Caenorhabditis elegans: one gene and its partners. The protein of the gene in region 1 interacts with the protein of each later gene in a biochemical or structural test. Each region holds a gene or a part of one and is shown on either strand. Other genes may lie near its edges.

The links.
Region 2: of the proteins of rho-1 (region 1) and rga-3, one has a biochemical effect on the other in vitro, tested with the Caenorhabditis elegans proteins (one study listed by BioGRID).
Region 3: of the proteins of rho-1 (region 1) and rhi-1, one has a biochemical effect on the other in vitro, tested with the Caenorhabditis elegans proteins (one study listed by BioGRID).
Region 4: the proteins of rho-1 (region 1) and rhgf-2 form a complex in vitro, tested with the Caenorhabditis elegans proteins (one study listed by BioGRID).

The regions. Positions count from the first base shown.
Region 1 is NC_003282.8:16,482,991-16,490,636, reverse strand, and holds the start of rho-1 (Ras-like GTP-binding protein rhoA), read left to right. Parts: upstream 1-1,615; 5' UTR 1,616-1,670; coding exon 1,671-1,691; intron 1,692-2,208; coding exon 2,209-2,343; intron 2,344-4,489; coding exon 4,490-4,840; intron 4,841-6,573; coding exon 6,574-6,645; 3' UTR 6,646-7,646. UniProt on the Caenorhabditis elegans protein: Required for ventral migration of epidermal cells during ventral enclosure in the embryo and for cell elongation. Also required for ventral migration of P cells during larval development.
Region 2 is NC_003283.11:5,716,215-5,722,592, forward strand, and holds rga-3 (Rho-GAP domain-containing protein), read left to right. Parts: upstream 1-1,670; 5' UTR 1,671-1,690; coding exon 1,691-1,813; intron 1,814-1,868; coding exon 1,869-2,345; intron 2,346-2,395; coding exon 2,396-2,593; intron 2,594-2,644; coding exon 2,645-3,353; intron 3,354-3,400; coding exon 3,401-3,993; intron 3,994-4,040; coding exon 4,041-4,285; intron 4,286-4,334; coding exon 4,335-4,923; intron 4,924-4,968; coding exon 4,969-5,070; intron 5,071-5,147; coding exon 5,148-5,369; 3' UTR 5,370-5,875; downstream 5,876-6,378. Other genes in the region: K09H11.9 (Neuropeptide CCHamide-1), read right to left, coding at 319-367.
Region 3 is NC_003284.9:4,506,730-4,511,486, forward strand, and holds rhi-1 (putative rho GDP-dissociation inhibitor), read left to right. Parts: upstream 1-1,779; 5' UTR 1,780-1,786; coding exon 1,787-1,882; intron 1,883-3,493; coding exon 3,494-3,747; intron 3,748-3,798; coding exon 3,799-4,024; 3' UTR 4,025-4,216; downstream 4,217-4,757. UniProt on the Caenorhabditis elegans protein: Regulates the GDP/GTP exchange reaction of the Rho proteins by inhibiting the dissociation of GDP from them, and the subsequent binding of GTP to them.
Region 4 is NC_003280.10:4,105,434-4,110,307, forward strand, and holds the start of rhgf-2 (DH domain-containing protein), read left to right. Parts: upstream 1-1,847; coding exon 1,848-2,197; intron 2,198-3,776; coding exon 3,777-3,942; intron 3,943-4,874.

The DNA of each region.
Region 1 (7,646 bases):
GGCAGGCAGTGGAACCGCGCCTGCCTACCATGGAAGTCCTAGTTCCCGTAATATGGTCGATTTTCGAAGAAAAAAAATCCGGCACTTCCGCTGACTCACGTAGTGCCAGGCTGCTGTCCCATCACGGGTTGATCTACAAAAAATGCGGGAATTTTTTTGGCCCAAAAATACGTGACGTCAGCACGTTCTTAACCATGCGCGAAATCAGTTGAAAAGTCTGCGCGTCTCAATCAACTCCCGCATTTTTTGTAGATCAACGTAGATCAAGCCGAAACGGGACACACTCTGACCACATTTCCGCTGACTAATTGTGATCTACTTCTTATCATCCCGCCAACCTCCCCCGCCACACCCCAGTTTTTTCAGACATTCCCCACTATCGGTTTGAATTTTCTTCCTCTCACCTCCCTCGCCACTCTCTCTCTCTCTTTCACACAAGATGAATCATCATTGGCATTCAATTTGCAAATCGATGTCTCCGCTCTCTGTGTTCTCTGTGTTCTCTGTGTCTCTCCCCACTCTCTCTCTCTCCCATCATCATCATCATCACTGTACCATTCTCTATGTCAGTGTCGTTGTGTGTGTGTGAGTGGTGTGAGTGGGGTGTCTCCAACCAACACATACAGTAGTGACTCACTACCAGTGATCTACCCAGTGGCCATAATTTTTGACGTCTATACGTTTTTTTTTTGCCGAAAAAATTGCTCCAAAAAAGCAATTTTTGTGGTTTTCCAAGCGAAAATCTGGAAATTTTCTGAAAAATTCCATTTTCACCGTTGAAAATTGCGATTTTCGTGATTTTCCACGTTTTTGAAGTTTTTCGGCCATTTTCAAGCTATTTTCCGTTGCTCGAATTCGGTTGAATTCCACCAAATGCACAAATTTGTTCAGAAATTTGGAAATTCGCCGGATTTTCATGGATATTCTGGAAAAATTCCATTTTTTAACGTTGAAAATTTGGAATTTTCGGTCAAAATACGACCAAATTCACAAATTTATTTGGAAATTTGAAATTTTTCTGCGAAATTCCATTTAAAAACGTCGAAAATTCCATTTTTCCATAGATTTTCGTGGCGAAAACTTAAATTTCCACCCTTTTCAAGCGATTTTTCCGTTGAAAAAGCGACCAAATTCACAAATTTGGCCGAATGAATTTCACGGAAAATTTTGAAATACCTCCTTAAAGGCGCAGGGACTTATTCAGATGGGTCTCGCCGCGAGAACACAGTTTTTTTAAATTTTTGTGGCTTTTTCAATGAAATTACTTGATTTTTAGCGAATTTTGTCGTTTTCCTCTCATTTTTTTTGGTGATTAAGACAATTTTCACCAAAAAAATGGGAGAAAAACGACAAAATTCGCTAAAAATCAAGTAATTTCATTGAAAAAGCCACAAAAATTAAAAAAAACTGTGTTCTCGCGGCGAGACCCATCTGAATTAGTCCCTGCGCCTTTAAGGAGGCATGTGTCGAATACTCATGAAATTGCTCATTTTCAAGCGATTTTTCCCGATAAAAGCCCATTTTTCTCGCATTTTCTCCTGTTTTTTCTCTTTTAAATATTTGTTAATCTCAATTTTCCAATCTAATTTTTTCTAATTTTCCCTTTTTTTTGCAGGGCTCTACGGGTGTTCCCTCTCGCGTTCCTCACTCACACACACACATAGAGATAGATGGCTGCGATTAGAAAGAAGGTGAGCAGCAGCTCCTCTCATTCTGATGCTCCGCGGCTCATTAAATTGTGCTCAATTGGAGAGAAAATTGGAGAAAAAACGACGAAAGTCGATAAATTCTCCTTGAAATTACAGAAATTTCAGTTTTTTCAGCAATTTTTCGCGAAAATCGATGTTTCTCGGCGATTTTGGGGCTCTGAAGCCATTTTCATTGAAATTTAGTGAAAAAAATATGTGTTTTATCTAAAATAACTGAAAAATGGCTCAAAAATTGTCGAAATAATAGTTTTTGACAATTTTTGAGCTCTTTTTCAGTTTTTTTCAGATAAAATACATATTTTTTCACTAAATTTCAATGAAAATGGCTCCAGAGCCCAAAATCACACGAAAATATCGATTTTCACGAAAAAAAACTGAATTTTTTGTCATTTCCCTTGATTTTGAGGCGAATTTATCGATTTTTGTCGTTTTTTTCCCGAAAAAATCGAAATTTTCTCGGAAATTCCACTTTAAAATTGACTATTTTTTTGTTTTGCAGTTGGTGATCGTCGGCGACGGAGCCTGCGGTAAAACTTGCCTGCTCATCGTTTTCTCAAAGGATCAGTTCCCAGACGTGTATGTGCCGACTGTTTTCGAGAATTATGTTGCCGACATTGAAGTTGACGGAAAGCAGGTGCGGATTGGATGAAGAAATTGTGAAAAAATGCGATTTTTGAGCCGAAAATCGAGTTTTTCGTTCGGAAATTGACCAAAATGAAGGAATTTGTGATTTTTGAGCTGAAAATCGTGAAAAATTGCGATTTTTGAGCTAAACACGTTGTTTTTTCGACAAATTTTGACTAAAAGGAGCAAATTTGTGCTTTTCAGCCGGGTTTGAGCTTATCATTGAAAAAATTGGCTCGAAACAGTGAAAAATCGCGTTTTTTGAGCTAAAAGTCATGTTTTTCCGATAAATTTTGACTAGAAGGAGCAAATCTGTGATTTTGAGCTGAAAATAGTGAAAAATTGCGATTTTTGAGGAAAAAAAATCGTATTTTTGAGTCGAAAATTGCCTTATATTTTTTTAAGCTGAAAATCGTGTTTTTCAGCTATTTTTTTGCTGAAAATTCCCTATTTCTCAAAGTTTTCGTGAAAATTCCCCGTTTTTTTTACCAAAAATTTAAGAAAAATTGGCAAAAATGACTGTTTTTCGCCTATAAATTGACTGAAATGCACACACAAATTTACGATTTTAAGCAAAATTTTGAGGAATTTTGAGAGATTTTTCAGAAAAACTTGTGTGTTATTTTTCGAGAAAAACAGTATTTTCTGCCATTTTTTTACCTAAAAATCCAGGTTTTTAGCTAGAAATTCAAAATTTTCCAAAAAATGCCAATTTTTTGCTGAAAATCCGAGTTTTCGCCCCCCGAAAATTCGAATTTTTTATCCAACAATCCAAATTTTAAACCTAAAACTCCTGGTTTTACACCAGAAAATTCGAATTTTCTCATCTGAAAATCCAGGGTTTTTCACAAGAAAATTCGAATTTTTTACCCGAAAATCTAAGTTTTTCCTCTAAAAATCCAATTTTTTAACCTAAAAAATTCAAATTTTTGCTGAAAATCCAAGTTTGCTAGCTGCAAATCCAGGTTTTTCCCTTTTCAAATTTTACCAGGAAATCTAAGTTTTTCGGCTGAAAATCCGAGTTTTTAGCCACAAAATATATAAATTTTTCCAAAAAAAAAACCAATTTTTACTTATAAATCCAAGGTTTTTAGCTAGAAATTGCCATTTTTCATATTTTAAAATCCAAAATTTTCACCCGAAAATCCAGATTTTTACTCTAAAAAATCCAATGGTTTTTACCTAAAAAAAATTCAAAATTTTCCGAAAAGTGCAATTTTTTTGCTGAAAATCCGAGTTTTTACCTCAAAACTCCAAATTTTTAACCTAAAAAATGCACATATTTTTCCTCTAAAAATACAATTTTTACCGAAAAATCCAGGATCTCTAGCTGACAATTCAATTTTTCATTAAAAATCAAAGTTTTCCCCAAAAAAACCATTTTTTTAGCTGAAAATTACAATTTCTTACCTAAAATTCCAAATTTTCCTCATAAAGATTTTACTTATCTAAAAATTCAAATTTCTAGAAAAAAATCCGAGTTTTCTTCTCTAAAATCCGTTGTGTTTTTAACCTTAAAAATTCAAATTTTTCCAAAAATAGCGATTTTTGCTGAAAATCAAAAATTTTCCCTAAAAATATCAATTTTTACCTGAAAATTCAAATTTTTCACCTAAAATTCCAAGTTTTCTAGCTGAAAATTCAAATTTTTCTAAAAAAAATAGCAATTTTTGCTGAAAATTTAAGTTTTTTACCCGAAAATCCAAGTTTTTAACCTAAAAATTCCAAATTTTCCCTAAAAATATCAATTTTTACCTGAAAATTCCAAGTTTTTAACCTAAAATCCAATCCAAAATTTTAGCCTAAAAAATTCATATTTTTCCTTTAAAAATACCACCATATTTACCTAAAAATCCAGGTTCTCTAGCTGAAAATTCAAATTTTTCTAAAAAAAATAGCAATTTTTGCTGAAAATCCGAGTTTTTCGCCCGAAAATTCAATTTTTCATCCAAATATCCAAATTTTAAACCTTATAAATTCAAATTTTTCCAAAAATAGCGATTTTTGCTGAAAATCCAGATTTCTTCCTCTAAAAATTGAAATTTTTAACCTAAAAAATGCATATTTTCCTCTAAAAATACAATTTTTACCTAAAAATCTCGGGTTTTCCCTAAAAATTCAAATTTTTTCACTTAAAAATCCGAAATTTTCTGCAGGTCGAACTTGCTCTATGGGATACAGCTGGACAAGAGGACTATGATCGTCTGCGTCCACTCTCTTATCCGGATACTGACGTCATTCTGATGTGCTTCTCAATTGATTCACCCGATTCACTGGAGAATATTCCAGAAAAATGGACACCAGAAGTCAGGCATTTCTGTCCAAATGTTCCGATTATTTTGGTCGGAAATAAACGAGATCTTCGTAGTGATCCACAGACTGTTCGAGAATTGGCAAAAATGAAACAGGAGCCCGTGAAGCCTGAGCAGGGACGAGCAATTGCTGAGCAAATTGGAGCATTTGCATATTTGGAGTGCTCTGCGAAGACTAAGGACGGAATTCGTGAGGTACAACAAGCAGCAGTAGCACCGAATTGAGAGATGGAAATTATTTTGGAAATTGAGCGAAATTTTTGGAAATTTCAGCCGAGAAAACCCAAAAAATTTTGAATTTTTATGAAAAAAAGGGTTTTCAGAAAATTCGAGCTCAGAATTCCAATTTTTCTGCAAAAAATGATGACTTGCGAAGAAAAATTGGAAATTGTGCGAAATTTCCAGAAATTTCAGCCAAGAAAACCCAGAAAATTGCAATTTTTATGACATTCTAATGATTCGAGCTCAAAATTCGTGATTTTTGCGAAAATTTATATTTTTGACGATTTTGGCCTCTAAAAAGCTGTAAAAACTGCAAAAAATCCGAATTTCAATATTTTATGGGAAAATTGGGTGGAATTTTCGGAAATTTCAGCCTCGAAAACCCAGAAAATTGCAATTTTTATGAAAAAAAAAATGGATTTTCAGTGATTTTCTGAAGATCCGAGCTCAAAATTCCAAATTCGACGATTTTGGGATATAAAAAGCTGCAAAAATCCAAAGTTTTCGTGAAAAATTTTCCGAAAAGTTGCAAATTTGTGGAAATTTTCCAGATTTTTTGAAAAAAAATTTTTCAATTTATGTGAAAAAATGAATTTCTTATGATTTTTTAAAGATCCGAGCTGAAAATCGACGATTTTGTGCTCTAAAAACTGAAAAATCTGAAATTTCAATTTTTCATGGAAAATTATGGAAAAATGATTGGAATTTCCGGAAATTTCAGCCGAGAAAACCCAAAAAATTTTGAATTTTTATGAAAAATTCCAGATTTTGGCGAAAATCGATATTTTTCGACAATTTTGGGCTCTAAAAGGCCGTATAAATTTAAAAAAAAACTGATATTTCAATCTTTTTCTTGTAAAACTTCACCTGGAAGATATTTTCGATATTTTTCGACAATTTTCCGACAGTTTCAGCTGAATTTTCTAAATTTTTTGGAAATTTGGCCTAAATTCAGTCAAAAATCCGATTTTCGCTTCGAGACCCAAAAACATTGATTTTTTTAAATGAAAACTTAAAATATGTCCAAAAATTTCGATTTTCCAAAAGTTTAAATTACAAAAAATTCAATTTTTTTGGAGAAAATCACTTTAAAAAAATATTCGAAAAATTGGAAAAATTACAGATAAAAATTCAATTTTTGCGGAAAAAAAAATCGTTCTATTTTGAACAGAAATTTTCGAATTTCCCACAATTTTTTCCAATAAAATTTAAAAAATGGCTCAAAATTGAGCTAAAAGTCTCAATTTTCAACAAAAGTTCATCTAATTTTCCCCCAAATTTCCAATTTTTTCCAAGAAAATCGAAAAAAAGTTATTTTTCTGATTTTCTTTTAAAAAAAAAATTCAGCTAAAATTCTCACTTTTCCATTGAAATTTCCCCGAATTTCCAATTTTTCAGAAAAAAATTTGGAAAAAAGTCTTTTTTTTTTTAATTTTAATAAATTTCAGTTCAAATTTGAGGTTTTTAGCTCAATTTTGAGCCATTTTTCTGATTTTCATTGAAAAAAAAATAATTTAGCTGAAATTCACCAGTTTTCCCCCAAATGTTCAATTTTTTCAAATAAATTTTTAAAAAAAATTTACAATTTACAATTTTTTCCTGATTTTTTTCCAGAAAAAAGTGAAAAATTGCTCTAAAAGTCTCAATTTTCAGCTAAAATCCGAAAAAAAATCGATTTTTTTTTCACTAATTTTTTCCAATTTCAGGTATTCGAGAAGGCGACACAGGCGGCATTGCAACAGAAGAAGAAAAAGAAGAGCAAGTGCATGATTTTGTAAATCAATCGATAAAATGTCTGCTCTTCTTCTCTCTAATTCTCTCGTTTTTTCTCTCCCTCTTCAAAAATTGATTTTTCATCATTTTCCCCCCATTTCCCCCATACAAAATTTGAAATTCGCGCTTCTCTATTCCAATTTTTTGAGGTGGTGGCCGTGGCCTTGAAACTTGAAAAAGTTAGGCCACCGCTCTCTCTCTCTTTCTCTCTGAAATTCCAAATCACACATCTCCTCTCCCGCCCACACACACACACACATTTTATAGCTTAATCCCCGAATTCCCCGAATTAAAAAAAAAATTTCCGTTTTTTTTTTTGATTTTCACAATGTCAAACTGTGTTATTCCTCCGTTACCCCTCCGACGCGCTTACACACTTTTTTCTTTAAAAAATAATTTTTTCTCTGCCAAAATCACTAATTTTTCATTTTTATTGAAAAAACCTCCATCGCCCCATCGCTACTTTCCTATCTTAGCTTCAATGTAACAGGTTTCTATTTTTTTTTCGTCGAATTTTTTTTCCTAGCGAGCTTTAGCCAAGGATGCCGTTTTTCGACGATTTTGTAGAAAATTTTTTCAAAAAAATTGGACAATTGGCCAAAATTGAGCTATTTTTTGAGAAAATCCGGAAAAAATCGGAAATTTTCCGTTTTCTCCTGAAAAATCGGAAATTTCCCTTTTTTTTTACGAAAAAATCGATTTTTAGCTATTTTTCGAGAAAATCTGAAAAAACAAAAAAATTCCGTTTTCTCCTAAAAAATCGGAAATTTCCCGTTTTTTTAAATGAAAAAATTGAAAAAAAAAAATCGATTTTCACCACATTTTGAGATATTTTTACTGAAAAATCGGAAAAAAATCGAAAAATTTTCGATTTTTAATGAAAAATCGGAAAAAATCGAAAATTTTTCGATTTTAAGGACTCTTGGCTCCAGAGCTTGCTCCAGAAAAAAATTATCGATTTTTCTCGATTAATTTAAGAAATGCGTGCGATATTTGTAACATTTTC
Region 2 (6,378 bases), on another chromosome or scaffold:
AGTATTATCACTACTCAGGCTGTAGAAGCGTTTGTGCTGTGCGTCTTTAAAGGAGTGCTGTAATTTTTATCGATTTTCATTATTTTTTGATGAAAATATATTTATTCATTATACAACTTAAAGTTCATTATTTCAAAAAAACTATAAGAACTTATTGAAAATTTGGCAACAAACGGTTTTGAAATTACAGTACTATTTAAAGGCCCACAACTTTTTGAACTTAACACAAATTAGTCGAACTTCAACTTTTACTTGTCTTGTATGCTCCATATTTTAAAGTTATTTAAATCTAGATCATTAGAGACTGCTTGAACTCACCAATATGACTGATCCCAAATATTAGAAAACAAATAGTCGAAATAATCATGTCAGTGAAAGAAAAGAAACCGTCAGTTGTAGTAACCCTTCAAACTGTCCGTTTTCCCACAATTTCCCCCAATTTCTTCCTGCTGCTTTTTCATTCCACCCACTCCGCCCACTTTTTACCAGAAGGACAACTGTTGCCTCACAGCAAGTAGTTGGTTAGTTGCTTGTGTCTGTGTGTGTATCTACTTTATGCCATTTGATATACAACATTAACCACCAGTAGTTTTATTTAGTTGCCTAGTGTTGGCGAGTAAACGGATGAGTGGACATACAAAAATCTGAACGAGGTATTTGCAGGATTTTGGGAGAATAAGTCAGAAAAAAAGTTGATTAGAAGACAAGGAAATGCCTCCAGTTTCTCCATATCATCAATTATCATCTTGCGAACAAGTTCGTGCTCATTCTTCAGTGATTCAGATTCGAGTTGTTGCTCAAGCTCCACGCCGCGAGAATTATTGGAAGCTTCAAATCGCAGCTTTTCAACCTGAATAATAAAAAAGGTATATTGAGTTGATTATTCAATTGAGCCAACCTCTGCTTCCAGACCAATATTTTTTCTTCTGAATTCTTGACGTCTTCGGAACCTTTTTCTTGCGGCTATCTCTCTTTTGCCTTTTTCCCATCTTTCCGGTTCAATTTCAATCTAGAAAGACAAAATGATGGAATCGTATTCACCGCACAGTTTCCGTTTTGCCCAGACATTCACTTTCAATAAGTACAGTAGTTTTGAAAAAAGCAAGTTTTTGTCTGAAAAAATAAACTTCTATAAAATGTTAGTTCAGTTTTCACAAAATGTCGTCAATTAAAATGCGCGCTGTGCAGTACGCATTCGGTGTATAAATTGTAAACATCCACCGTAGTAAGATGTGCAGGTTCTTACAGTAACCCGTTGTAAAAAATAAGAAAAAATGCGGGAAATTTTTCATTTTTGACTAAATTAGGATAATTTTTAAAAAATTATCGATAATCATGCGAATTTGATTTTTTTTTTCTCGGTTTGGACGCAGAATCGACGCTTCTCTGTGTTCTCAATGCTTTTTTTCTGTAATATTGATGCTCCTGATGAAAAATGAACTGAAATTTAAGATTCGCCAGCCTGTGCGGCACGCTGTTCACACAATTCGAATCTTGAACTCTTCTCCGTATTTCTACTTGTTATCATGCGTTTCTATTGAAAGTTGATAAGCTTTTCGATTCAAAAATGTTCGTAAATTAATTTAATGAAAATATCTCTCTTTTTCTCGTTTAAAAACGTGTTCTCCTGCCTATAGGCTTCTCGAACTATCAATTCAAACATTTTTCAGGCTGACTAACTCGAGAATATATGGAACACAACGACTTTCGTGTCGTTACATCCTCGTCGGTGTATCGGAAAGGCTCGACGACAAGCGGAGTGATCGCCGGCGCAGGTCCGAGGCCAAATAAATTTAGTTACACTCTTGGAGAGGTTTGTGCTGGAAAACTATTCGAATCTATAATATATTTTTAATATGCATTTTCAGGTATGCTCAACGAATGTCACTCTGGACGTGAACGTCGGCACCGGCTGGACGAGAATACGTCTGAAGGAAGTTCCCAAGTTCATTGTGAACGCGTTCAACATCATCTCGAAGCACGGAATGGACACTGATGGTATTTTCCGCAAGGAAGGCAACTCTGTCCGGCTGAATCGCGCAGAAGTTCAGGCGATCTACAAGGGACAACGCGACATTCCGAACGATTACAGTGTTATTGACGTTTGTACAATGGTGAAGCGTTTCCTTCGTGATCTGAAACCACCTCTTCTTGACTCTGAAGAGTGCCGAGCCCGACTTCTGAAGAAAGCATGCCAGGCGAGAATTTCGGATGGTTTTTTGATGACGCGGGATGAAATGGCAGATGTCTTCTACATGGAGGATCGAACGATTGAGCAACAAACACCGCTGCTCTCAGATGCGCATGCGTCAACGCTGGGATATGTGATGAGACAGCTGAACAGGGTATGGCGAGAATATTTGAATTTTCTTATCCAAAACTCCGTTTCTTCCAGATCGCCGCCCACAGTGAGCAACACAAGATGTCAATTGAAAATTTGGCTATCGTTTTCATTGGAAGTGTTTTCGGTGACGGAATTCATGATTCGAAGAAAACTCCGCAGCTCCGTCGTGGCTCGAAGGAGGATATTTTGGCGCAGAAAAGACATGAAATGAATGTGAACACGGCGGCGGTTAAATTATTAATTACCAATGTAAGTTTGATTTTTTTCCTAATTTTAAAAGCTAATTTATATCGATTTCAGGCCAATCTAATTGGTGTCCGTCGTGATCCATACGTCACCAGTAACGCAATGCTCCGAAGCTCAAGCGCTATGCCACGCTGCATGAGCAGTGGATACGAAACGTTGTCCGATGCGGATTGTCTTTCGGCTCAAACAGCTTCGCTTCAAAGAAGAGAACCGGGCCCATCCACGCCTCTCACCATTCACCGACGAGATTCAGAAGCGGTGCACAAAATAGTGACTGCACGAAAGAAGGGCGAACAGGATTCGAAGAAGAAGAGATCCGCATCGTTTCTTCCGAGCTTTCGCGACCTTAAACATCGTTTTTCGAATATGAAGAGAACCAAGAGTCCAAGCCCGGAACGCCTTACGACTGGACACACTGCCGAGCCATCCAAGTTGACGGACATATGCTCATTGAACTTGCACACCGATCCTCACCAAGACCCATTAATTCATCGGAAAAAGGTGGCACGTAATGAGTCGACTACCATGTCGACGGGATCAACAGCGTCTGGAAGACAATCGAGAAGCCATCAGAATAGGCGAGGGAACACGAACGCCACACCGAGAAATAACGGTAGTGGAAAGTCTACGATTTCCACGATGTTCGAGTCCGAGCAAATTCTCAGCAGTGGAGCTCTTCGACGGTTGTCGGCCAGCGATCGGAATACGGATGCAATGCGATTTGCAAAACAAATAATGTCCAATGAGCAGATGAATGTTGCAGGTGAGAAATCGTTCCATTCTGGAAAATAATTTATGTTACATTTTCAGAGTTTCTATTATCCGAGCATCAACGCAATCGAGAATCTAAAATTCGAAAACGCAATACTGTGATATTGGGTGAGAAGCCGAGGTCTAATGGTGTGAAGCTCACAAACAGGCGTCACACTGCTCCCATCAGCAATAGGCTCCGCAGAAATCGGCCGAACACTGTTGGTGCCAGCCTCCCTCATCGAAATGACTCATTTCTCAATAACGGATCTTCCATGGAGGAGAAGGAGAATCAGGCGGACTGCGAGACTGATGACACGCTAGACGCAACGAACAATGTGGATCAGTCAGAATGGTTATTAGAGCAGAAAGCACTGGAAGCCAGATCGCGGCGAGAGGGAAGGAAGAATAAGGCGGCTCCGATGAGACACATCAGTACAGGAAGCATGCTGGTGCTCAATGGATCCATGGCTGTCGAATCGACGAGTATGTTGAAAGCGGAGCCACTTGTGATGGACTCGTTGAAAGAGGAGTCGCCACAATCGCCACAAAAAACGCCGAAAGTCGTGCTCAGGAAGGATTTGGACAATTTGAAGAAAATGAAGAAGTTCTGTGACATTGCAACGTCGCCAATGGTGATGGATACGCCGACGGTAACAAATAATCAATTTTGAAAGTTGAAAAGGCGTATGTTTTACAGAAACTTTCACACGAGAATGGTCACGCGTGGGTTGGAACGAAGCAGGTTGTATCCGTTACGAGGACTCCTAGTCTTTCGCGAAGACGGAGCCGAGCTCATCTTTCATACTCGAAGGCCACAGAATCTCCTTTAGACAAGCCATCGGAAGTCCGAAGAGAGTCGAGTTCACTGATGTCACCGCTGTTAAAGCACGTTACAATGACGAACAACTCTGCGCCTTCTCAAGTGATCACATCGTCTCCTAGGTTAGTTTCATATCGAAAATGCAGAAAACTATACATACGTTTATTTCAGAACCAATCTCACTCCAAGATCACATACATTATCTCCATTGGCAGTCAAAATTAAGCGATCTACACCGCCGCCGATTCCTCCACATTCACCACCCCATCTTACTCCGGGAAAGTCGGAAGTCTCGTTGGATGCTCTCGATGACATGAAACGAATCTCGATATCTGACGGTTCACGGCGTATTCCAACTTCTCCTTCGCATCCACGGATGCCGAAGACTTTCTCGCCGAAACTGCCAATTCGATCCGTATCAATCGATAATAGATTCGAGTTTCCTGTTGCTGCTGCCGGGGAACCTGAAGAACCGTCAACACAGTTCAAGCTTCCGCAATTGCCGATGCCAAAGAAAATGAACCGATCGGGAATCTCTCCGCTGGCCCGGCAAGCACACTCATCAAAGTCGACGCTTTCGGTACCGAATCGATCAAATCTTCGAGAAACGAAGAGCATCGAGGAAACTCCGACTGCGTTAAGATCGGCGCCAGCTCAAGCTTCCTATCAAGGATCTTCGAATCAGATGTCGCCAAGATCAAGTGATTATTTCGAGTTTGGAAAATACACAAATGCGCTGAGGTCTGCAACTGATGAGTTTGTAAGTATAAAAATTGTAGTGATTGGCAAATAAAAACTAATTCAGGCACTGCCAAGCAGAAAAGCTTCCGTCGAATCTCGTCCTTCAGTTGCAATTCTACGGAATAACAATTGCGGTTTAGTGCGATCCAGAGTCAATCATTTTCAGGTAATTTGTTGTAGAAAATTTTATTTTCTATTCCACAAAAAAACAATTAAAAATTTCAAAGAATATATTTTTTCCAGGAAATCGAGCACTTGCAACGCGTCGAAACATCGATGAGCGGTCGATTGTCAGCAATGTCACAATCATCACTCCGAAGCAATGACCCGTTTTCGGATCGTTTTTCGGATGTCTCGGATCTTCGAAATGCCGCGTTCTCTGAATCCACCGACTCGGCGATCAGCACTCCAACTGCCACTCCAACTACATCACGGGTCTCCAATGATGCTGGGCAATATTTCTAAAAATTAAATTCTTGTATGTTTTCATGAATTATGGCTCACTATTTTTTGTCTCAATTCTACGATCCTCATCCCCATTTTTTGTCTCCCCAGACTTTTTCAAGTACTTGAAATCTCGCATTTTCTATCCCCCGCACGTATTCTTCTTTTAGATACTACTAGATTTTCTAGCTTATCATTCTACAAATAAGAACTACCAATTTCCATGTGTATTTGGGGTTTTTTTGTTGCCATCTGACATTATCAGAATTAGCCTTTGGCACCCAAAAAATCGCGATTTCTCTCCTCATTCCAGCTTCATTTTCATTCCAATTTCCACTGGAAACCCTTTTTTCTCGTATTTTCTCTCCGATTTTCCCGAGTTTTTCTCCTTTTTAGTGTTGCTTCTTGTGTAATATCTGATCATCAACACCACCATTATTATCATTATTTTTAGTATTGTGCTTTACTTTACCCATCTCTTAACTTCAATGCAATTTTTTTCCAACGAAATAAGATGGTGCACTTTTATTTCTCCACATCTTTGATCAAAAATCATCTCGAGAAACTTAGTAGGACAAAACATGTTACGTTTGCTTATTGAATCTGAATTATTATGATGGCGCGGGAAACATTCATAGAATGCGCATTGCACAACATATATGACGCGCAAAATATCTCGTAGCGAAAACTACAGTAACTCTTAAAATAACTACAGCACACCGGTGTCGATTTACGGAAACAATTTAGTAATCGATAAAAAAATCAAAAAAAAACAAATTAACGGAATAAAATTGATTATCGCGGTAACAATTCGAACAGAAATTAGTTCCAAAAATCGAGCGCGTAAATCGACACCAGCGCTACAGTAGTCTTTCATGAGTTACTGTAGTTTCCGCTTCGAGATATTTTTTCGCGTCAAATATTTTGTGTAATACGCATTCTCAGAATTCAGTGTTCCCGTAATATTTCAAAGTAAAATATTCTTTTTTTTTTTAAATTGGTAATTATATACTCAGAAAATTCAGTAATT
Region 3 (4,757 bases), on another chromosome or scaffold:
CTGGCAAATATATGTTCCTAATAACATTAGAGATCTTCAAATATTTGTTTCCCATTAGTAACCACCTCAATTTTATTTCCGAGGTGTGGAAATAACTTGTTTAGGTGTGGAACTGAATTGTTTTAAAGTTTTAATTTTCGAAAATATAATTATTTTGTGCCACACTATATCTGTGTTAAAATTCACAACACTTCCAATTTTACGTTTTTGAATTAGTCCAATTCTTAGGCTTTTTGATTTTCTCTCTCTCTCTCTCTCTTTCCCAGCCAAAAACTAACCGCGTTCAAATACTTTAAACAAACGAGAACTGTATTTTCTCGCACTGCTTTTGCTTCACTTGCTCCTCGCAATCAGTGCACAGCGGTGCCCTAGAATGCCCGATTTTGACATTTTTACCTTCTCGTCCTCCTCCACCACCATCATCGCCCACCATCAGCGATTTCCTTGCGCCACTCCCTCGACGATTCGGTTTTCCACAAACATTTTTCCACGCACACACACACACACACAAGTTTATGTGTGTGTGTGAGTGTGAGTGTGTTTCATTTGTGTCACTCACTCTACTTTTTTCTCTCTCATTTCACTATCCACCCATACTCGAACTGTATTTATTTGTCTGTTGTTTGTGACTCTCTCTCTTAGTGGGCGAGAAGATTCCTAATACTTGACATGATATGCGTTATTTCTTTAACTCGCTCTTCAATCTATCAATTGTTCATTTAAAGTTTGAAATTTATCATTCTGTTTAATTTCTAATGTTTTCGATTACTCAGCAGCACGACTTCCTTTCTTGTTCTTGGGCAAGCAACATGATGAGTCATTTGTTAAATTCCCAGAGTAACGAATCAATTGATAAGGGAAGACTATTTTGCTTGACGTTGCATTTGTTCTACTTCTCATCACTTGAATTTTTGGCTCCTCCAGTATGTCATATGTTTCTACAATGACTGATTTAAGGCAACTTGTTTTTTTGTTTTCTTTCGTCAATTTTCGACAATACGCATATGCTTAAAGGGTCAAAAAGGTCAGTCAAAAAGTGGCATAAGTTTTTGCCACTTTCTGAAAAATAGAACTGTTCAAATCAGAAACGACATTCAAAAAATTGGTGAGAACTGAGTTTTCACTGGTTTTTGATTCGAAATAAAAAAAATTTCCAAATTATTTTGAATAGTTTTATTTTAATTTTTTAGTGATTTTAGCATCATTTTAGTATTTTTCCCATATATCCAGAAATTGGATTTTTCCATCTTGTACATGGAAACAAATGATATAGGCGACGCCAGCAAAAAAAAAAAAAGAAATCGCATCAGAAGAAAGCTTCACAAATCTGTTTTACCAACAATTTGTCTTGAAGAAGAAGAGAAAAAGTAGGCGGAGACGAAAAACCACACAGGAGTAGAAAAAGACGGTGGGATAGATAACAAATTGACATTGTTCAACCATTTCGCCCTCCTCTCCGTGTGTTTGTCTAATTCTTCTTGTCTCGAACGAGGTTGTTCGGTTTGATTATGAAATTTCTTTTCCGGTATTTTTCCAGTTGCCCATTTGCCCCATTATTTTTTTTGGACGTTTTCTCTTTTTGTCGCAAGATTTTGGTTTCGACCGTTCGAGTCTTTGCCCTCAGAATCGTTTTTGTCGTAGGCACTCATTTTTGGCCGCATTTTTATTCGCATTTCTTTAAGTCGTTCATAATTGCAATTCTTCGATTCTTGGGTTTTCGAATATTCTGGTTCTTTCCCTTCTTCTTTTTTCTGACAGCGCTTACCCCCCATTTTTCAGCGGAATTATGTCTGACCACGAGAACACTGGTGAAAACACCTCCGAATATCAGTACAAGCAACCACCACAAAAGAGCATCGACGAGCTTCTCAATGCTGACAAGGTTTGTTAAATTTATTTTTAACAAAAAAAATTGAACATTTTGCGAAATTGCTAATGGATGTGGATTGATGAATCTGATCACAAGACAGCTTTGGCCTTCGATCTATTAATAAAAAGTAGTTAATTGAAACAAAGAAAGCCGAGCCAAGCTACGTTCAAAACACAAAATCCTTGCATTCAGGCTACAGTGTTCTGCGAGTTTTAGGTTTGATAATTGTAAAATAGAATCAAAAGGTAGTGCAACGGGCGGCAATTCACCCCGGCAAACTCGTTTTGGTATGACAATCTAATATTTTTAAGTAAATGCTGAAATATAGAAAATATTTTATTTCTTTGAAAATGAAATTTACTTTTGTAGAAAAACTTAACAAGATGTTGAAAACTACCTGAAACTTGTTATTAGTAGAAAGAACTGCCGTTAAAATGTTATCGGCACAACACTAATATCACCTCTTTCTGATTGTTGTGTCAAAGTTTTCTTTTGAGAATGTATATAGAAATATGTGTATTTTCCAAAAACAACGATAGCTTTGATAAGTTTCTCAAAAACTGTCTCATAATCTGTATATTCCTCCTTGAGATAGTTTTTGAACACTTTCCCAAAACTTTTCATACAAAGGAGAGTTATTTTTGGAAAATGCATATATTCGTTACTAGGGGTGGCAAGAGTGCGACCTAGGTCGCTAGGTCGCTGTTTTCATTTAGGTCGCATCGCGACCTAGGTCGCATTGCGACCTGCGACCTAGCGACCTGGGTCGCATTGCGACTTGCGACCTAGCGACCTAGGTCGCATTGCGACCTGCGACCTAGCGACCTAGGTCGCTTTACGACCTGCGACCTAGCGACCTGGGTCGCATCGCGACCTGGGTCGCATCGCGACCTGCGACCTAGCGACCTAGGTCGCTTTGCGACCTGAAGTACTGACATTTTTTATACTAACAAATTGCTACAAATCATTTATTTTACATTGTTTTCGATTTCTTATCCATAAGACACCTTGTCGAAAAAAGTTAGAACAGCCGACATCCGCCGGATTTTCTGCTTTTTTCTACGTTTTTAATTCGAAAAGTGGAAAATGAAATTTTAGAAACAACAAAAACCACAAAAACGTGAACTTTTTGAAACAATTTGCTGAAATGCATGGTTTTATTTGTAGAAATGAATTCTTTGTTCCGTACTTTTGAAAAAAAACTACGCATAAACTTATAAAATCTTAATAGAGAAAATGTTAGTGGAATACACATATTCTGCAATCTTTAGTTTTCGAGTTATACGGATTTTAACAACTCAAGTGAATCAAAACCGAAAGAGAACAAAATGTCGGTAATTCAGGTCGCAATGCGACCTAGGTCGCTAGGTCGCAGGTCGCAATGCGACCTAGGTCGCGATGCGACCTAACCCTCTAGGTCGCAGGTCGACCTAGGTCGACCTATAGCCACCCCTATTTGTTACATTTCTATACAAATTTCCGAGCGAAAAACTTCAACATAACAATGAGAAAAAGGGCATTTTGTGAATTTTCCTAATGTGCCACAATTTTGGTCTCTATTAACCCTAATAAACTTTTATAAAAATCCAATGACAATCACATTTTAGTATGAAATTTTTACAGGAGGACGAGTCTCTAAAAGTGTACAAAGCCAAACTTCTCGGCCAAGGAACAGTCATTGTCGACGAGAAGAACCCACTCCGCGTGATTGTCCGATCCGTCGAGCTGCTCATTAATGGTAAAACTGCGCAATCATTTGACTTATCGGATCCAGCAAAACTTGTCAACTCTGACTTGTCTGTTTCCATCAAAGAAGGTTCCAATTACCGGTTAAGCTTTGCTTTCCATGTGCAACGCGAAATTACGTCCGGATTGCAGTTAGTTTTTTTGTGTGTTTAATCTTAACTTAAAATAATAAATTGTTTCAGCTACAAACATAAGGTGAAACGATCCGGTATCACTGTGGAGAATGAGAAGTACATGATGGGAAGCTACGCGCCAAAACTTGAGATTCAGGAGTACAAATCACCAAACGAAGAAGCTCCGTCTGGAATGATGCATCGTGGAAAGTACAAGGTGTACTCGAAAATTACCGACGATGACAACAATGTGTATCTTGACTGGCAATGGACCCTTCACATTACCAAGGAGTAGAATAATTTTCCGCCTTTACTGAACCTCATATTTATATTCAAATTCTCAATGAAAATGACTTTTTTCTCCAATTTACCGCCCACCCCAAATGTTTTCCTTGTTTTATGGTTATTATTGATTTTGATGCACTAGTTGTGTTGTGTGATGCCTCTCCCCTTTCCCCGCCAAATTGAAATGATATATAAAGTGATATTTCATAATCATTTAAAACAAAGTGTACTGTTTTGTGAAACGTTGGAAACTAACCAAAAAACACTAACTTGCTGCGTTTCCAAAAACTTAAGATCCTAATACGCATTTACACGTTGTTCCGCAATATTCACGTGGTTTCAGCTGGGCCGGAACATTGTATTAATTTCAGAATTAGAGATTTTATTTTGATACAATAAGAATTGAACTACAAAACGTTACAACTTTGAAAATTTAAAAGAGTACTAACGGTTTGGAAGTTTTGAACGTATAAACCCAAAATGTGTTAAAATAAATTAATTTCGTAATAAAAAGTCAAAAAAATTTGAATAGACTTTTCTCACAAAAATCCAAACTTAAAAAAAAATTTACCAGAAACTTTGTAGCAAATTTTCAGATCTTTTTACTGAATACCTAAGTATTTTTGGTACTCGTGTGTTACCTAAAATTACTCTGTAGTTCTAACTTTCAAAATTACTATGTAGTTCTAACTTTTAAAGTTACTTTAAGATTAGTAAATTGAATTCGTGCAAAATGTTTGAAA
Region 4 (4,874 bases), on another chromosome or scaffold:
TTTTTTGCCCATCCATCTAATGTACAAACCAATTCCCTAGACTGTTTTTTTTTTGAATAAAGCAAAAAAAGTAAACTTACGCTTAGGCTTAGGCTCAGGCTTAGGCTTAGTCTTAGGCTCAGGTTTTTGTTCAAGAATGAGATAATTTCTTCAAATCTAGTTTTTATTTGTCAATTTCAAATTAAAAAAAAAACTAATTAAATTGAACCAAATTTCTGAAAAATACTGTTTTGATAAATTATACTTTTATGTAGAATTACTGTAGCTATCAAATATCTTTCAACTGGCAATTTGTCTGAAATTCTACAGTTCCAAATACTCTTAACCCTCTCTTTTTTTATTTTTAAAATTCTCCCTGGACTTTTTCTAAATTTCGAATAACCCAATAGTGTCACCCTCATCATAATTAGGGTTTCGTGTGCCTGTCTGCATATATTGCGTGACCTCCATTTCATCGTCCTCTCTCTCGACAGTTGACTCCTTAGGTTTTGGGTGACTCGGATCGGATTTATGAATAAGAAATTGGGCTGCTGAGGGGTTCACCAATTACACATGCGCGCACCATTCTTCAAGGAAAATCCTTATGAATTTCTAATGAATCAAAGAGTTGTTGAGTCCCCGTCCAAAAGCAACATTTTTTTGGTGTCTAGAAAGACAAAAACTCCTATGTTTTGAGAATGTTATGGTCGATGAAAACATATAAAACTGTGAGGGTCGGCTTCCCAATTCAAGTTCGCTCCATTGAGAACCACCTCCAAAAGTGACATTTGCAATGATATTCACAAGAACAAGCAAGAATAAGAATTGACGGAAAAATTGCTTGTTTTCTGTTTCTGTGAATAGAGGAAAAACCAATTGTCGTTGTGATTCATCTTGATTCATTTGAGGTCTTGGTGACGTGGGTAGAAGAAACATTCTGGAAAACGAGAGAATCTGAAATTGTTTTGTGGTCTTGCGACGAATAAGTGTTTGGGGTGGTACTGTAGAGAAATGTGAAAATTGTGAAAAAAACTTTTCAAATTTTTTTTGTTTTTTTTTTGTTTCAAAACAATTGTTTGTTATTTTCTGGAAAAAATTGATTACTCTAAAAAAATCGAAATTTGAAAAATTTTACTCAAAAATCGTTAAAAAATTGAAGGAGCTTAGGCTTAGGCTTAGGCTTATGCTCAAGTTTAGGCTTAGGCTTAGGCTGAGGATTTGGCTTGGACTTAGGGTTAGGCTTGGGCTCAAGCATGGCTTAGGATTTTCCGGCTTTTTTGATTTTTGAAAGGGTTCCTATCGGCCGATCAGCGCGAATTTTTACGGAGAGTTTAGGCTTAGGCTTAGGCTTAAGCTTAGGCCTAGGCTTAGGCTTTGGCTTGCCTATGTAGGCATACTGTATTTTTCACAATTTTAGCGCAATTTTCCGTAAATAATTTTTTGTAATTTTTTTCATATAAAATGTTTAAAAAAATTCGAAAATTTAGGAATTCTGAGAAACATTTTTTAAAAGCTAAAAAAAGTTTTCGGGTTCAAAATATCCAACAACTCGTGGTTTGGGCTTTTCCGCTCTGTTTTCAGCTATGCATTCTCATTTCCTTCCGTTCTTTGACTTTTTTTTTGACTATTTTTGGGAGAAGAGTCGAAAATTTCCAGAGAAGCACAACACAAAAAAAGGGGAAAAAGTTGCTAGATATCTATCAGTAAACTCTTTTTCCTCTCTTGGTTTCTTTCACTTTTCATCTTTCTCTAGTTGCGGCGGCGGGGAGGGGGAAAACTAGAGAGGAGACAAGGCGCCGCCCCTTTCTATTGGTCCTGGTTTCCCCCCGTTTTGGATCGCTCCAGCTCCCAACTCCAGAAAAAAAAATATGTTGGAAAATGGTTCTGCAACTCCCTCAACTTCTATTCCTTGCACTTTCACATCTTCGGAACCCCTATCCGCAATGAGATTGTGCTATAATGGGGCGACGACGCTGCTCGCCGCCACCGCGTGTCCGGCGGCCTTTGTGGATTTGGATTCGATTAGAGAAGAGCCCCCCTCGCCGAGACCTTTGGATAGAGACGATTCAGTATTCTTTCGTGAATCTTGCTCCACCATCGGCTCACCGTTAGACGAGCTCCCCGCACTTCCCACCTCGTCCACGTCGTCGCCCTTCAAATTTATGGAAAGTATTCAGAGGAAGCGGAAGAGTATGTTTAGAAGGAATCAGTCGAGCAGGTGAGCTTAATCCTCATCATCAGATTATGCTTTCATTTTTTCGTGCATAGTATTAGCTTAATTATTGCTTCTTTTTTTGCTAAGGAAGATCCACCAAGGCCAAGGGTCAAAAATGTTATAAATAAAAATGAAAACAAAAAACAATTTCAAATCCGAAACCATCAATCACAATTTCTGCACGGACCCTCCCGAAATGTAGCTGTCCTGACATCAAAGTTCAGCTCAAAATTTTCGAGGATTTTCACCTGTGCCCCTTTCAGATATTATTCTGTTTAGCATTTGGGTTTTCACGTCACTTGGAGATTTGTCTTATGTGTTTTGTTGAAACGTATATTTGACTAGAATTTTTGAAAATTATCAGTGAAATTGCTCCGTAGACGGTTACTTGCGGAATAATCTAAAGTTGGATTTTTAAAAAAATATTTTTGAGTGAAAATGTTCCAAATTTTATAACAAATTATTGTCCCTTTACACTACAGTAACCCGTTAAAAACCGTCCCAGTAGTTTTACAAAAGTAGTAAAATTATTTAAAATTCTAGAAGTAGCTGTAACCGTTACATAATTCAAGCTTTCATTGCTACTTTTAAACTCCAAGCTAGTTATTTTGACAGCTCAGATCTCGGTCACTTTAGTAGAAAGCTGTAATTGCTGAATTACAAATTTATAGAAAAATAAATAATAAATATTTTGATCGTTGACAATTTTTTGATAGCATAAAAATAAGCCGAGTTATATGATGCCGAAGCAATGAATTTTATCAATTTTTTTCTCAAATAGTTATTTCTATTGTCTTCCCGATTCTTATCAGTCTTCGTTCTCTTCCCGGTTTCTCTACTCTATGACTTTTTTCTCTTCAAATTTTCCCACGATTTAGTACCATTGTGAATGAAAATCCGACGGATATCCGTTCGCGCGGAGACCACAAGGAGCGTCATCGTTTCCCCCATTTGCATTGATATTGTGGAATTTTGGGTGTTTCTTTCCATTCAACAAAAAAAATCAGTCAAGTGCAAATATCGCGTGCTGCAAAATAAAGGGATCGGGGAGATGAAAATTAATTTCAACCGAAATTTCAAAATGTGCCCTAAGGCGACAATTTTTGAGTGATCATCTCATTTTTTTATTTGGGTGGTGGTACTGGATACTCTCTTTTTTAATTGCAATTTTGACGGAGTTCCTTCTGGAAACATGGTTTTTGGTGTTGAGATGGGTTATGGAGGTAATGAATATATCAGTTACTGAAAGAGGGGGCTGAAAAACGCCCGGAAAGCGCCTCCTAAGACTGGGAACATAGAAAGGCAATGTGGGTGGATGACTGGAAGCACGTAGATTATTCAAAAAAAAAATTCCAAATTTCAAAATATACTTTAAAGCTAATTTGATTAGAGTTTTGAGCTGCTAAAACTCATCAGAATTTTCTAATTTTTAACTAAATTTTTTTTTTGCAAATTTAGAAAATTAGGTACTCCTAACTTTATAGATATATTCAAGAATGTTCTAGTGTTTTTTTAGTTTCTAACAGCTTTTTTTCTCTAAAATTCCAACTTCCCAACCCTATACCAACTTCTTCATTTTCAGCAACCTAATCAACACCGAGAAGCGTCGGACGACTCGCAGGCCATCACTTCCGTCGATTCCACCAACGATCGACGAGATGAGCAGTAGTGTTGGACATGCTCGAAGCAGGAGACCATCTCTGCACAATGATTGGACAAATGAGCACGCTCAGAGGAATGCATTAGATGTGAGCTTTTGAATTCAAAAAATTAGTTTTGTTGATAAAGAGAATGGGATCTGAAACGATAGCTGGAATGTGAAAAAATATTAGTAAAATTTTTTTAACTAGAACCGCAGCCAACTTTGATGGCTTGTATCTTGTTTCATATCAAAGATAGCAACACATTTTCAATTACAGAACTATAGAAAAACTCAAGCAAAACATTTCGTCAGTGGACACTTTTTTGATGACGCAAGAGACCGCCGAGATATGAGCCGCCAAAGTTAAGCATATCTAATATTACATCAGAATCAAAATTTGAAAATTTTGCTAGTTTTCCACTCACAATATCGTTAAAATTAATTAATTTAAGGTCAAAGTTATGAGACCATTACAATAATTTTCTTATTTGAAAAATTTTGAGCGTTCTAGACAGCATCCCAATTACTTTAACGTTCAGATGTCTGAACTTTACTTGATAGTTTAGTTTTGGGTGGAATTTGGTGAAATTTCAAATTTTTGAAATGAAAATTGAAGTAAACCTTGAAGGAATATTGGGGACCTATGCCTGCCAGGGACTCGCGTGCCTACGTGCTTGTATACCTACGTACCTATGAGTCTATTACATGCCTTTGGTGAACCTTATACAAATTAATTGAAATCCCTGTAAGAATAAACTCAAAAAGCGATAGGCAGGCACGTAGGCATGCAGATGAGTAGGCAGGCGTGGGCATGACTACGTGCCTGCCTGCTATCAAAGTCTTCAACCACGTCACTTCCTAAAAGCCTACCTAGAACTCCCAATCAACAGTTGATTCAAAGAAGTTTTCTAGATAAAAACACGAGTGCTTACCCACTACATATCCTCCTCAGCACTTGGGTTTTGCTAGCCTCATGTTTATATTTCCTCCCTCTTCCCTTATCAAGTATTCTTCTCACCAATTTCGTGTTCATAAATC